Daphnia pulex: one gene and its partner. The protein of the gene in region 1 interacts with the protein of each later gene in a pairwise test. Links are inferred from orthologs where the notes say so. Each region holds a gene or a part of one and is shown on either strand. Other genes may lie near its edges.

The links.
Region 2: the proteins of E3 ubiquitin-protein ligase Arkadia-like (region 1) and ubiquitin-conjugating enzyme E2 W-like interact in a two-hybrid assay, tested with the Homo sapiens proteins (2 studies listed by BioGRID and IntAct). The link is inferred for Daphnia pulex from reciprocal best matches to the Homo sapiens genes RNF111 and UBE2W.

Annotation. Positions count from the first base shown.
Region 1 is NC_060024.1:8,994,660-8,999,924, reverse strand, and holds the start of E3 ubiquitin-protein ligase Arkadia-like, read left to right. Parts: upstream 1-2,191; 5' UTR 2,192-2,352; intron 2,353-2,415; 5' UTR 2,416-2,504; coding exon 2,505-5,265. Other genes in the region: SAFB-like transcription modulator, read left to right, coding at 1-264, 513-688, 765-1,174; UDP-N-acetylglucosamine transferase subunit ALG13 homolog, read right to left, coding at 1,255-1,674, 1,740-1,847. UniProt on the Homo sapiens protein: E3 ubiquitin-protein ligase. Required for mesoderm patterning during embryonic development. Acts as an enhancer of the transcriptional responses of the SMAD2/SMAD3 effectors, which are activated downstream of BMP.
Region 2 is NC_060027.1:2,994,633-2,999,642, forward strand, and holds ubiquitin-conjugating enzyme E2 W-like, read right to left. Parts: upstream 3,387-5,010; 5' UTR 2,850-3,386; coding exon 2,802-2,849; intron 2,735-2,801; coding exon 2,643-2,734; intron 2,566-2,642; coding exon 2,463-2,565; intron 2,390-2,462; coding exon 2,338-2,389; intron 2,259-2,337; coding exon 2,155-2,258; intron 2,087-2,154; coding exon 2,011-2,086; intron 1,933-2,010; coding exon 1,919-1,932; 3' UTR 1,206-1,918; downstream 1-1,205. UniProt on the Homo sapiens protein: Accepts ubiquitin from the E1 complex and catalyzes its covalent attachment to other proteins.

The sequences.
Region 1 (5,265 bases):
TTCTGCCTCCCTGAATGCTGATTATCGCGGTTCAAAGGTATCTGAACCGGTTCGCGGCGGTTACGACAACCACGCCCGCCGCTTCGAACGTCCACCCCCGTCATCTGTTTCTGCAACTGCCGGAGCGGCTGTCATTACACGACGCGTAGTCCAAGAAATATCAAGTGTTCGCAGAGACACTCGACTCCCACCGCCGTCACCACCTCCCCTTCCTCGTGATCGCTTGGATGACAGACGGGTCGTTGACAGGGGACGTGATGAGAGGTATGTAACTACTAAATGTGTGAATCTTCTTATATTTAATTTAAAAATGCAGCTGCACTCAGTGCTGCTTTACTTATGTGGAGGCAGTGCCATTTATCAGCTCGCTAAATTGAAAACGATTTTATTCCTAGCCTGTAACAAATTTTAACAGGAAAGTCATTCAAATCGTGACAATCCTTGTTAATCATTATCCAAAATTTTTCTTTCTGGATTAATGTACTTAACCTAATTACTTTTTAAAATTATAGATACGATCGCGGGAGCCGAAGCCGAGAAGGTTTTTCAGATCGTGACAGGGAGCGGGAAAGAGAGCGTCCGCGTGATCGAGGAGTAGGCAGGGGAAGTGCAACTGAACCGATACGGAACAACCGCATGCCGGAGAGAGATCATCGTGATCGATATGCCAACGACTCACGTGGGAAAGGTAAAAGCCGGATGGAAAGTGCGGTTGCGATCATATATTAATTACTATTTTGTGGTTTTCTCTTTTGTTCGAATAGATCACCGTTACAATGAGAGAGTGTCTGAGCCCTGGCAGCGAGGCCCTTCCAGTGCGAATGCCCCCGTATCAAGCGGAGGAGTTGGAAGTTCAAAAACTAATTACGGTTCCAATGGAAGCGGTAATACCATGCTGGGCAATGGAGTTGGATTGTCTTCTAACACCAGCTGGTCTGGCAACGGAAGTACGCAACAAGATCGCTGGAGCGCATCGTCATCCTCGTTAATGCCTGTCGGAAGGTCAATGGCGTCGTCTGGATCATTTAATAACAACTGGACTGGATCAGCTCCCCCTCTTAGTGGATCCGCGCAATATAATCCAGCGACAGGAAACATAGGGAGTCTTAACAACCCTGTTATCGGGCAGTCTGGATCCGTTGGCTATTCGGCAGATCGTTATTCGCGACACTAACTTTATCGCATCATATCCAACCGTTTTTTTTTTTCAACTTAGACGTTTACAATGTATGAAATCAATACACAAATTGAACTTTATTTTTGAAATCCCATCAATTTTTCAAGGTAGGCTGAGAATGCAACTGGATTATTTCTAGGAAATTTCTGGAGTTTAGTAGTTCTAAAATCAACAATGGTAGTTTTTAAGGTTTCTGGATAGCACATATAAACATGTCCTTCAGAATGTAACTTCTCAGCAAGTTCTAGCTGGTGATTGCCCATCAGCTTCTGGTTAACCACAACAATTAATGGCTTTGCTACACTGAGGGCCTCAAGACAACTGCCAGCACCAGCATGTGAAATGATTAGGGAGGCTTTTTCCATATCAGAAGAAATGTTTTCTTTAAAATGATAACAAGATATTTGTATTCTTCGTGAAATAGGAATTGGAGGTTCAACACCAAGTCCAATTTGCAGAACAAGATGTGTGTACCCATCATCTTCCAAAATCTGATGCTCAAATTTTATACATTATTATTTACTAGGAAAAATGTGTAATGCAACGTAAATATCGAACATACCTCTAACGTGTTTGGATGCAAAACTTGAGTTATTAATTCGTCAAACTGGGTAGTCCCTACAGTAACAAAAACGATTTTACTTCCCGATTCTTTATGTGTCACACTCATTTCGAACGACAGCAATACTAGTATTTCAGTTCACTTATGGACATTCCCCACAAAAAATTCTCAACTTGTTTACGAAATTGTGATATTTATTATTCAAAAAAACGAATAACTAATCTGTCAGAATGTCAGTCAGCCAGTCAGGCAAAAGGAAAAGAGACGATGACAGTTTTGTTCATATTTTTTTAAATATTATTGAATGAACTCTAAAATTACGTAAACTTTATTAATTTAGAAATTCTTAACTCATAAATGTAATTATTTTTAAGTTATTTAATGAATCATTTCATCATTCAAACTTACAACCAAAAATAAGTAAAAAAATCGATGTTGACCGAAATATTGGCACTTGGCAGCACCGTTGGCACTTGTTTACAGCAAAGACAATTGTCTCATCAGCTGTCCTTAACTGGAAAGAAAGGGTTTTGTACTTGATTGGCGTGACTCTTTGCCCTTTACCGAGTTTTCATACAGGATTACTGTTAAGTTTGTTTTTCAGTCTTTAATGGTAAGTCAAACTAATCTTAATTTTAATGACAAATGGTTTCATTATATAAACATATTTCATCAGGTGGTGTAGGGAGGAAAACGTCATCGTCTTTTCTTCCCTTGGGAGCATCTTGCCTCGAGCCGTCTCTATCGAGTGAGTTGTTATCAATAATGGGTGACGAACAAGCTGGCCCGTCTAGAAAAAATACAATGGACACTGAAAGATCCAATAGCTCGGGAACAAATAGTAGCAAGTCAGCAACAGAAAATGTTCCGAAACAAACATCACTTTCAGCAGAAGAAACAAACAATCACTTGGCATTTGGAAATGGAAGGACTAATCCGCCCAGAACACCTAGTAGGAATTGCCCTTCTATTGATGGTGAATGTCCATCAGGCCATTTTGATGAAGAGGATTTGGACATGCCAGAATTAGAAACTCCCAGCCCTGTCTTGATGCCGTCACAGCTGCTCTCACCCCCAGTTGCACTCCACTATGATGAAACTTTGCCATTGACTCTTCAAATGCCAACAAGTATTAATGTCAGTGTTAACTTGCAACCTTCAGTGTACAGTCTGTCTGGACCACCAGATCCTGTATTCCTTGACGACAGTATGGAGAGTGGGGAGAGAGAGATCACTATCACTCGAAATCCTTATTTCGATCCCTCTCTCTCACCTGGCCCAGTCGACGAGTTTCTTTCTCTTGCCTCCTTCAGTAGCCACGTCGATGGCTTTCACTTTGGACTGGAGGAGGCACCAGCACCTCCCCATTGGGCCAACAGTAACCGCGTAGAATCTTTTCCTCCAGCTGCTGCTTCTGCTGTAGCAGCATCATCTTCATCATCTGATGTCCGCCGAAAAAGACCGAATACAACTCAACAGGATTCAAATTGCAACGCATCGAAGTCCAAAAAACAAGCCGAGACTTCTGGTGGAGAACCTGTACCCGGTCCATCGGGTATCGGAGTTGCAAGAACGGTAACTGGCGATGATGGCCCAGTTGCTGATGATCTACAATTAGAATGTCTGACTGACGGTTCCTCCTCTGCTACCGAATCAGACATTGACGATGACGATAGTTGCATCGAAGTAGTAAGCGTCCGACCTGGTCTATTGCGTTCTCAGCATCAACCCGAAGTCGTAGATCTTACCATTTCAGAAGACGAAACGTCGACTCCCAATCCTTCTACATCGTCGGGCTATTCTCGTTCTACTGGGAGACAGCCCAAACCATCGTCGTCTGTAAAGTCAAGAGCTATACCTAAAGCAGAGCCTCCAATGGCACCAATACCGGTTGTGATTGAAGAGAACAATCAGCCAGACGCTGAAGTAAGACGAGCATCGCCGGCCTTTGTGTCCGTTACTCCATCGTCCTCTGCAGGAAACCGCCCAGGTGCTTGGTGCGGATGTCCAGGGCAGTTTTACGTGGACGGAGGACGGCCCACGCCCATGGGTGTAGCTTGGCCAAACAATGGTAATCCAATACGAGCACATTACATTCCTAATCAGTCTCTTCGACCATCTCCGCTAGCTCATCATGCCACTGCCTTTTCGTATACACCACCACCGCCAGCTTATCACCATCCTCCACCACCGCCAGTTCTGACTCTACGTTTGCCGTCAACCGTTCAAACCCACGGTGGAGCTCGTTCGCCCGTCTGGTGGAGTTATCCAAGTATGGCCGTTGAAACAGTAGCCACTCCGTCACCTCAACACGTAGCAGGAGATGGATCTTCTAATCAGGCTGCGGCCATTCCACTGCAACCCAGTCAGCTGGTTGAAGCCACTTCTGTCGCTCAACCTGCACCCGTTTTCGTTCCTCAAACAACTGGTATTTACCATGCGGCCCCCACTTCACGACCCGTGGACGGACGTTGTACGATGCCGCCTGCCATTGCTCGAAGCTTCATGCGTATCCATCCCATTCACCAGAGGATTTGGCATTCACAGCACCGCTCGCAAGAAGCTCTTCGACGTCATATGGACATGGCACAACGTGTCGCAGCTGGAGAAACCGTCGAAGTTAGCGGTCCGTCATCGATTCCGGATTCTCCGATGATGAGTCAAGGCATTCAAAATCAACAACAACCCACTGGTTTCTCTGGTCCGCCTCCTCCATATCATCCAGTTGCACTGGAGCGCAACAGCAGTCCTTCGCCACAATTCAGAACTGTTCACGCTCCCGATTTGAGTAGCCACATGATGCCGGCCGTTCAAGCTGAAATTGTCGTTGAAAGTTCTCCTGTCAATTTAGATCCTCGCCATCACCATTTGCCTCCTCCTCCTGCCTATGCTTTTGCTCCGTCTTACCACCACCACATTGCCCATTTCAGTCTGCCTGGCAATTTGCATATCAGTATAGGTCCAGGACCAGCCATCCCGCCCGCAGTACCACCACCACCACCTCGAACCGTACCAATGGAACGCGTTCCACCACCTGCCATGCCCGGTGTTCAAGGTGCCGCAGCAGTCGAAATCCAACCAGCCCATCAGCAGGAGCAACCTTACCACCGTGGCTACCCGTTGTACATTCACCACCAGCAGCACGGTCACCACCACCATCCTCCACCACCATTGATCCCACTGGGCAACAGTCCATTCTTGAGCGGATCACCACATCACTACCCATTTTTACGTCCTTCAACGCGTTTGGAAGAGTACATGCGCTTGGTGGAACAGCGTCGAATGGCCCAGCTCTCGCGTGGTGCCTCCCAGACGTGCATCGAACGCAATACTCTGTCGCATTCGTACAAGCGTCTCTTGCGTAGCAACAGCAGCGTTGATGGCGACAGTAATGAAGACAACACCGAAAAGTGTACCATTTGCCTGTGTGAATTTGAGGAAGGTGAAGATGTCCGTCGTCTACCTTGCATGCATTTGTTTCATGTCTCTTGCGTTGACCAATGGCTTACCACTGTTAAATTCTGTC
Region 2 (5,010 bases), on another chromosome or scaffold:
GAAAATGTGACGCATCAAAAACAAATTTCGACGTTCGTCGTCTAATAGTTCATTGTATTCTCTCTCCCGTTTCTTATATATTTAAATCATTGTGTGTCCACCAAAAATGTTTTAAAAATTGACAAAAAAAAAAGATTTGTAGAAATATTTCTCAACCCGCTCAGAGCTTCGATATTATGACGTCACACACACAAATGATTTTTCTTTCTTCTGCCGGGAGGAAAGTTTTATAATATCATGTTGGATAATATCGACAGTTTGGTATTTCGTGTATCATACAAGTTCTCTCTACTCCCCCCCCCCCCCCCAACAACAACAACAACTGTAATAGTGATGTGTGAGGTTTATCTATCTCTTGTCTTAAAAAAGAAGAAGCTCTCTAGTTGATTGGATGTGACTTTTATATATATTTCTCTTTCTTCTTCTCCATCTTTGTTTGATATATTTCCTAGGAATTTTCCTTCCTCCACACACACATGAAAAATATATATAAATATATTATTATAGATTGTCTGTTTTTAAATAAAAGAAAAACGTGTGTGTGTGTGTGGTTGGAGAGAGAAAATTCGTGTCAATTATTTATACCGGAGCTCGCACAGAGCTGTTATGTATACCAATCCCCCCCCTGCCCTCCTTATTCTTCTCTCTCTCTCTTTGTAATTCTATTTCAATTTCAAAATTGTTTCTTCGTTTCTCCTTAATGAATTTTAAAAAATGCAGTTCGGATTTTTGTAATTATTATTTTTTAAAAAAGGATAAAATAGCTCGGCGGATTTGTTTCTTCTCAGTGTGTACACGTCCGACGGAATACCGTGCAGCGCTCAATCATTTTAGATTTCCTCCTTTCTGATTTTATTAATTGATTTAAAAAAAAAGAAAAAACGAAAAAAAAAAGTTAAATTGTTTTTTTTTTTTTAAACCTTTCCCTTTTTATTACCCAGGAGAATTTGTTTGTCAAAAAACCTTTCTTCCTCTCCTTTTCTTCAGCTCATATCCGCTATATATACACTCCTCATATGACTGGCTATTTTAACATTAACATGAGTCATGGTGTGTGTGTGTATAATACGATCATTAATTGACGAATGACATTTTTTTTCAAGTCGCCCACCTTAATTAATCTCTACGTTTACCCAAAAGTATGTTTTGTCACGCCCTTCATTGCTGTTGTTATAGCGGAGTCTTAAAAAAAAGCTGTCGGAAACGAACTTTAATCTCTTCTTCTATTTCTTTCGAAACAAAAACATCACACAAGACACACACACACACACATCAAAAAATGTTCTCGAAAAGGATAATAAAACAGAAAAAGTCGATTACAAAATTTGCGCCCTACTACCCTCTGATTTTGAAACCATTTCAGAAATATACAATTCATTATTTACTTGGCTAATTCAAATCGTTTAGTTTTTTTGTCTTCCAAACGTGAAATGAAAAAGAATTTGAGTATAATAGTTGAAACAAATTTTATACGAGCGAAATATTTTTCGTTTAACATTTAAAGAATGGGTGGGGGTAAGATAAAACACAGTAGAAGGGGGGAAAAAGGCTTCGTAGATTTGATGTCGATTAAAAGTCGAAAAATCAAACGCCAAAAGTGTGAAACATTACACATCTGTAGTTTTTCGTGAATATTGCTACAAGTCAAAAATTGGAGAGTATCAACCGCATATTAATCAAGACAGAGAGGAACTGTTTCGTTATGCGAGGAAGTAGTAGGTCAATATCGGGAATGGGAAATCAACGCGATCGATTCGGAAGGGTGGAAAATTTTGACAACTGAAAAAAGAAAATCCATTTTTGTTTTCTTTCGTATTTTTTTGGCGACTAGATTGTCTCTGACGCGAGCATCGCCAGCGTGAAACAGGTTCTTTTTCTTTTCGTAGCGGGAATCGAGGGGGAGAGATATCAACCCGTTTTACACTTCTTCGTCTGGCAAATTGGGAAATGATTTATGGTTAAAAAAGATTAATAATAACTCGGGTTTAGGCGGTAGCCATTCAAACTCACCGTGGTACCACCATTTGGTTTTCTTTGGGTTCTTGCTGCACGTTTTCACGTACATACTGTCATCCGGTGGTCTCTTCTAACGGGTCAATAGTCGTGAATGAGTGATGGGTGAGAAAGATACTTTTTCACACAATTGAAACTGACCTTTTCTTTACAAGAGCTGAGCATTGAGATAATGGAAACACAGACCGAAAAAATGGACAGAGCCGGTGACCAGTCATCGGTCAATATACTGAGGCAGATGTGGCCTGAATAACCGAAAAGGTTGGAGAAAAGAGCCGCGGTTAAATTATTGACCATCTTTTAAGGGTTTCACGCTAGACAGACCGTTGCTGTAGACGTGCGGATGGACAGGGATCTCCGATCCGACGAAAACAACCTAAAGAGAGTGGTCTCAAATGAGTAAAACATACGTGTTGGTTTTGGTCAATTCGTTGACTGAAAGGTGTTACCTCGGGCGAATCGAAAGGGTACTTTGGTCCGAAACGAAACTGTAACTGAAACTGCTCCCCTTCGTAAATCGTTCCTTGAGCTCCATTAATACTCAACACCAACCTGGAAGTGAGATTTGAAAAAAATAAAGTGAAAAAAGTGTGATGCACTTGTCCAACAAAATGTCAAGTCAATCTTACAAGTCCAGGCTCTGGCCCACAGATTCTCCATCGATCACAACACCAGGAGGAGGTTCCTTGATCAAGGAGACAAGCTCCTTTTGCAGCCTTTTCTGTAATATTAAAAAAAAATTGAGTTTTATTTAGATACTGATCTATTCGGCAACAATCAGGGTTAACCTCTTGTCTCTGAAGAACACACGATTGAGTCAGGGATTTGTCACTCATATTCGCAGTGGGCACCAATAATGTGAGACACAACCACCAGCAAGTAATGCGAAAACTATACTCACCGATCCAAGAACTAACTTGCCACTTATGTAGCTTTCTCCTTTTATAGAAAGGAAATGTCACCAGTTTGACAGTACGCTGCAGGGTTTCACTTCACGTGAACCGTGCAAAGCCACACCAGACATGTGCCAAACTGACATGTGCCAATAAGTCAGAACTCTCTTCTAGGGTTTCATTTTCTCAGGTGACTCAATTGGGAAGAATAAGGAAGCAGTTGGTTGAATCTGTGCCATAACCGATTAGCAAGCTTCAAGAACACACACCATCTCCAGAGCAGTATAGCTATTTTTACCGCTAAAAAGACTTCCGAAACCTCAAACCGAGTCAAGAATATTACTTAAAAGAAAAGTTTTACTAGCAAAATGTCAAGGACAAGTCCAAATAATGATGAGATTGAAGGACAAGCTGACATGGCAACCGAAGGTTCCTCGAGTTTCATTTTCTACCAACTACGACTAGATAATTGCAGGCGGCTCTTTAACGTTTCGCCATTCTGAATACGTTCACACTTATTAAACTGAAGCATTTTTTTATTTAATATTTACCTGAGCAGGAGAACATGTGAAACGCGAGTGATGTGATGACATGTTTTGTTTTCTTCCTCCAAAAACGTCTGGGTATTTCGCAGACGCAGTTGTGCGGAACGCTGTGAATTGCGGAAAGCAGATGCGGAAGTTGCGAGTTCAACGACCGTGGAAACTGCCTGTAATAAACATTTATCGTCGTTTATTTCTTTTTACGTCGCAAATAAGATTGCCCTTCATCTCTGATTCAGCGAGTTTCTTTCTTTTCCAGTTCACACGCAGACAAAAAACAAACGTCAATAAGTTGGGGGATTCCAACGTTCACTGAACTTTTGTGGTTCGTGAGCGGAAACAATAACTACGCAAACGGGCCAAGTTGCGTCTTCCTTAACCTCCTTTGTCGTGCAATGTCACTGCTAACTGTCTAATTTGTGTCCCGCGTCAGCTAATTGGGACTGGGTACTGTACATCTCCTATATAACCTTAAGGCAGAAAGTTATCGATTGATGACATATGGTATTATAACAAAACTGAGACGTTGATGTTTTTTTAAAAAGGTGGGAGCCCTTATCTTTTACAAGTGACAACAAAAGCGTAACGGTAGTATTGTTTTCAGTTGGAGATATTTATGGCAGTTGCGAATCCTTTAAGGACTAACAAGATATAGTGACAACAGCAGTGTCATATTGACGTAACACATTATGCAATAGGTGTGAGTGACGCAAGTCGAGCGAATCGACGTTGTTTGATCGATTCTTCATTGTCTCGGCGACAGTAGTGGGAAACAACGAAGTATCAACATTTTTTTTTATTTATTTCGCAAATTAATTAAATAATTTTCTCCAGGCGAGGCTCGAACTCGCGACCTCGGCATTACTTTCAATCTTTATTTTGATGTTAGTTTTGCATATATTACTGTCTATAAGTACCATGCGCTAACCAACTGCGCCACTGGAGATGTTTTGAGAGGACCCAAAACTTAATTCAATTAATATTTTTCTGCAAACATTTGCCATTTTTGTTTAGTCAGATTGCATAATGCATTCTGATACACTGCGGATGTCTTATAACACGGTTTCTATTATGGCGCAAATAAAAAGTTTCCAACACAATTAAAAATGTACATTCTCTTGATTATCTCCGAGCACGACAGATGACATGGCTCAATCGTGTAGGGCATGAGCTTTCAGTTAAATAGCTCATATGTGCCGAGATCGAATCCGATAGAATTGCAAATGATGAAAAATTACTTCCAACTCACGACGGTCTTCTGAAAATACCGTGACGATAAGAGTATTCAATTTCTGAGGCAATTAAGGTTCAATTCAACATAAAAATAATTATTTAATTCGACTGTACATTCATTTAAAAAATCTCAGGATCGATATTACGCTAAGAATTAATTTGAAGTTATAGTCATTTTGAAAAAGGTTTGATTAGTCAAACTACAAACACTATTATCGATATCTAGCGATGGAGTTAGGTATAACAAACACTGCTCCAATCAATAAACCGCAATACACACATTTTGGATAACGAATATCAACATTTTTTAAAATTATTTCGCAAATTAA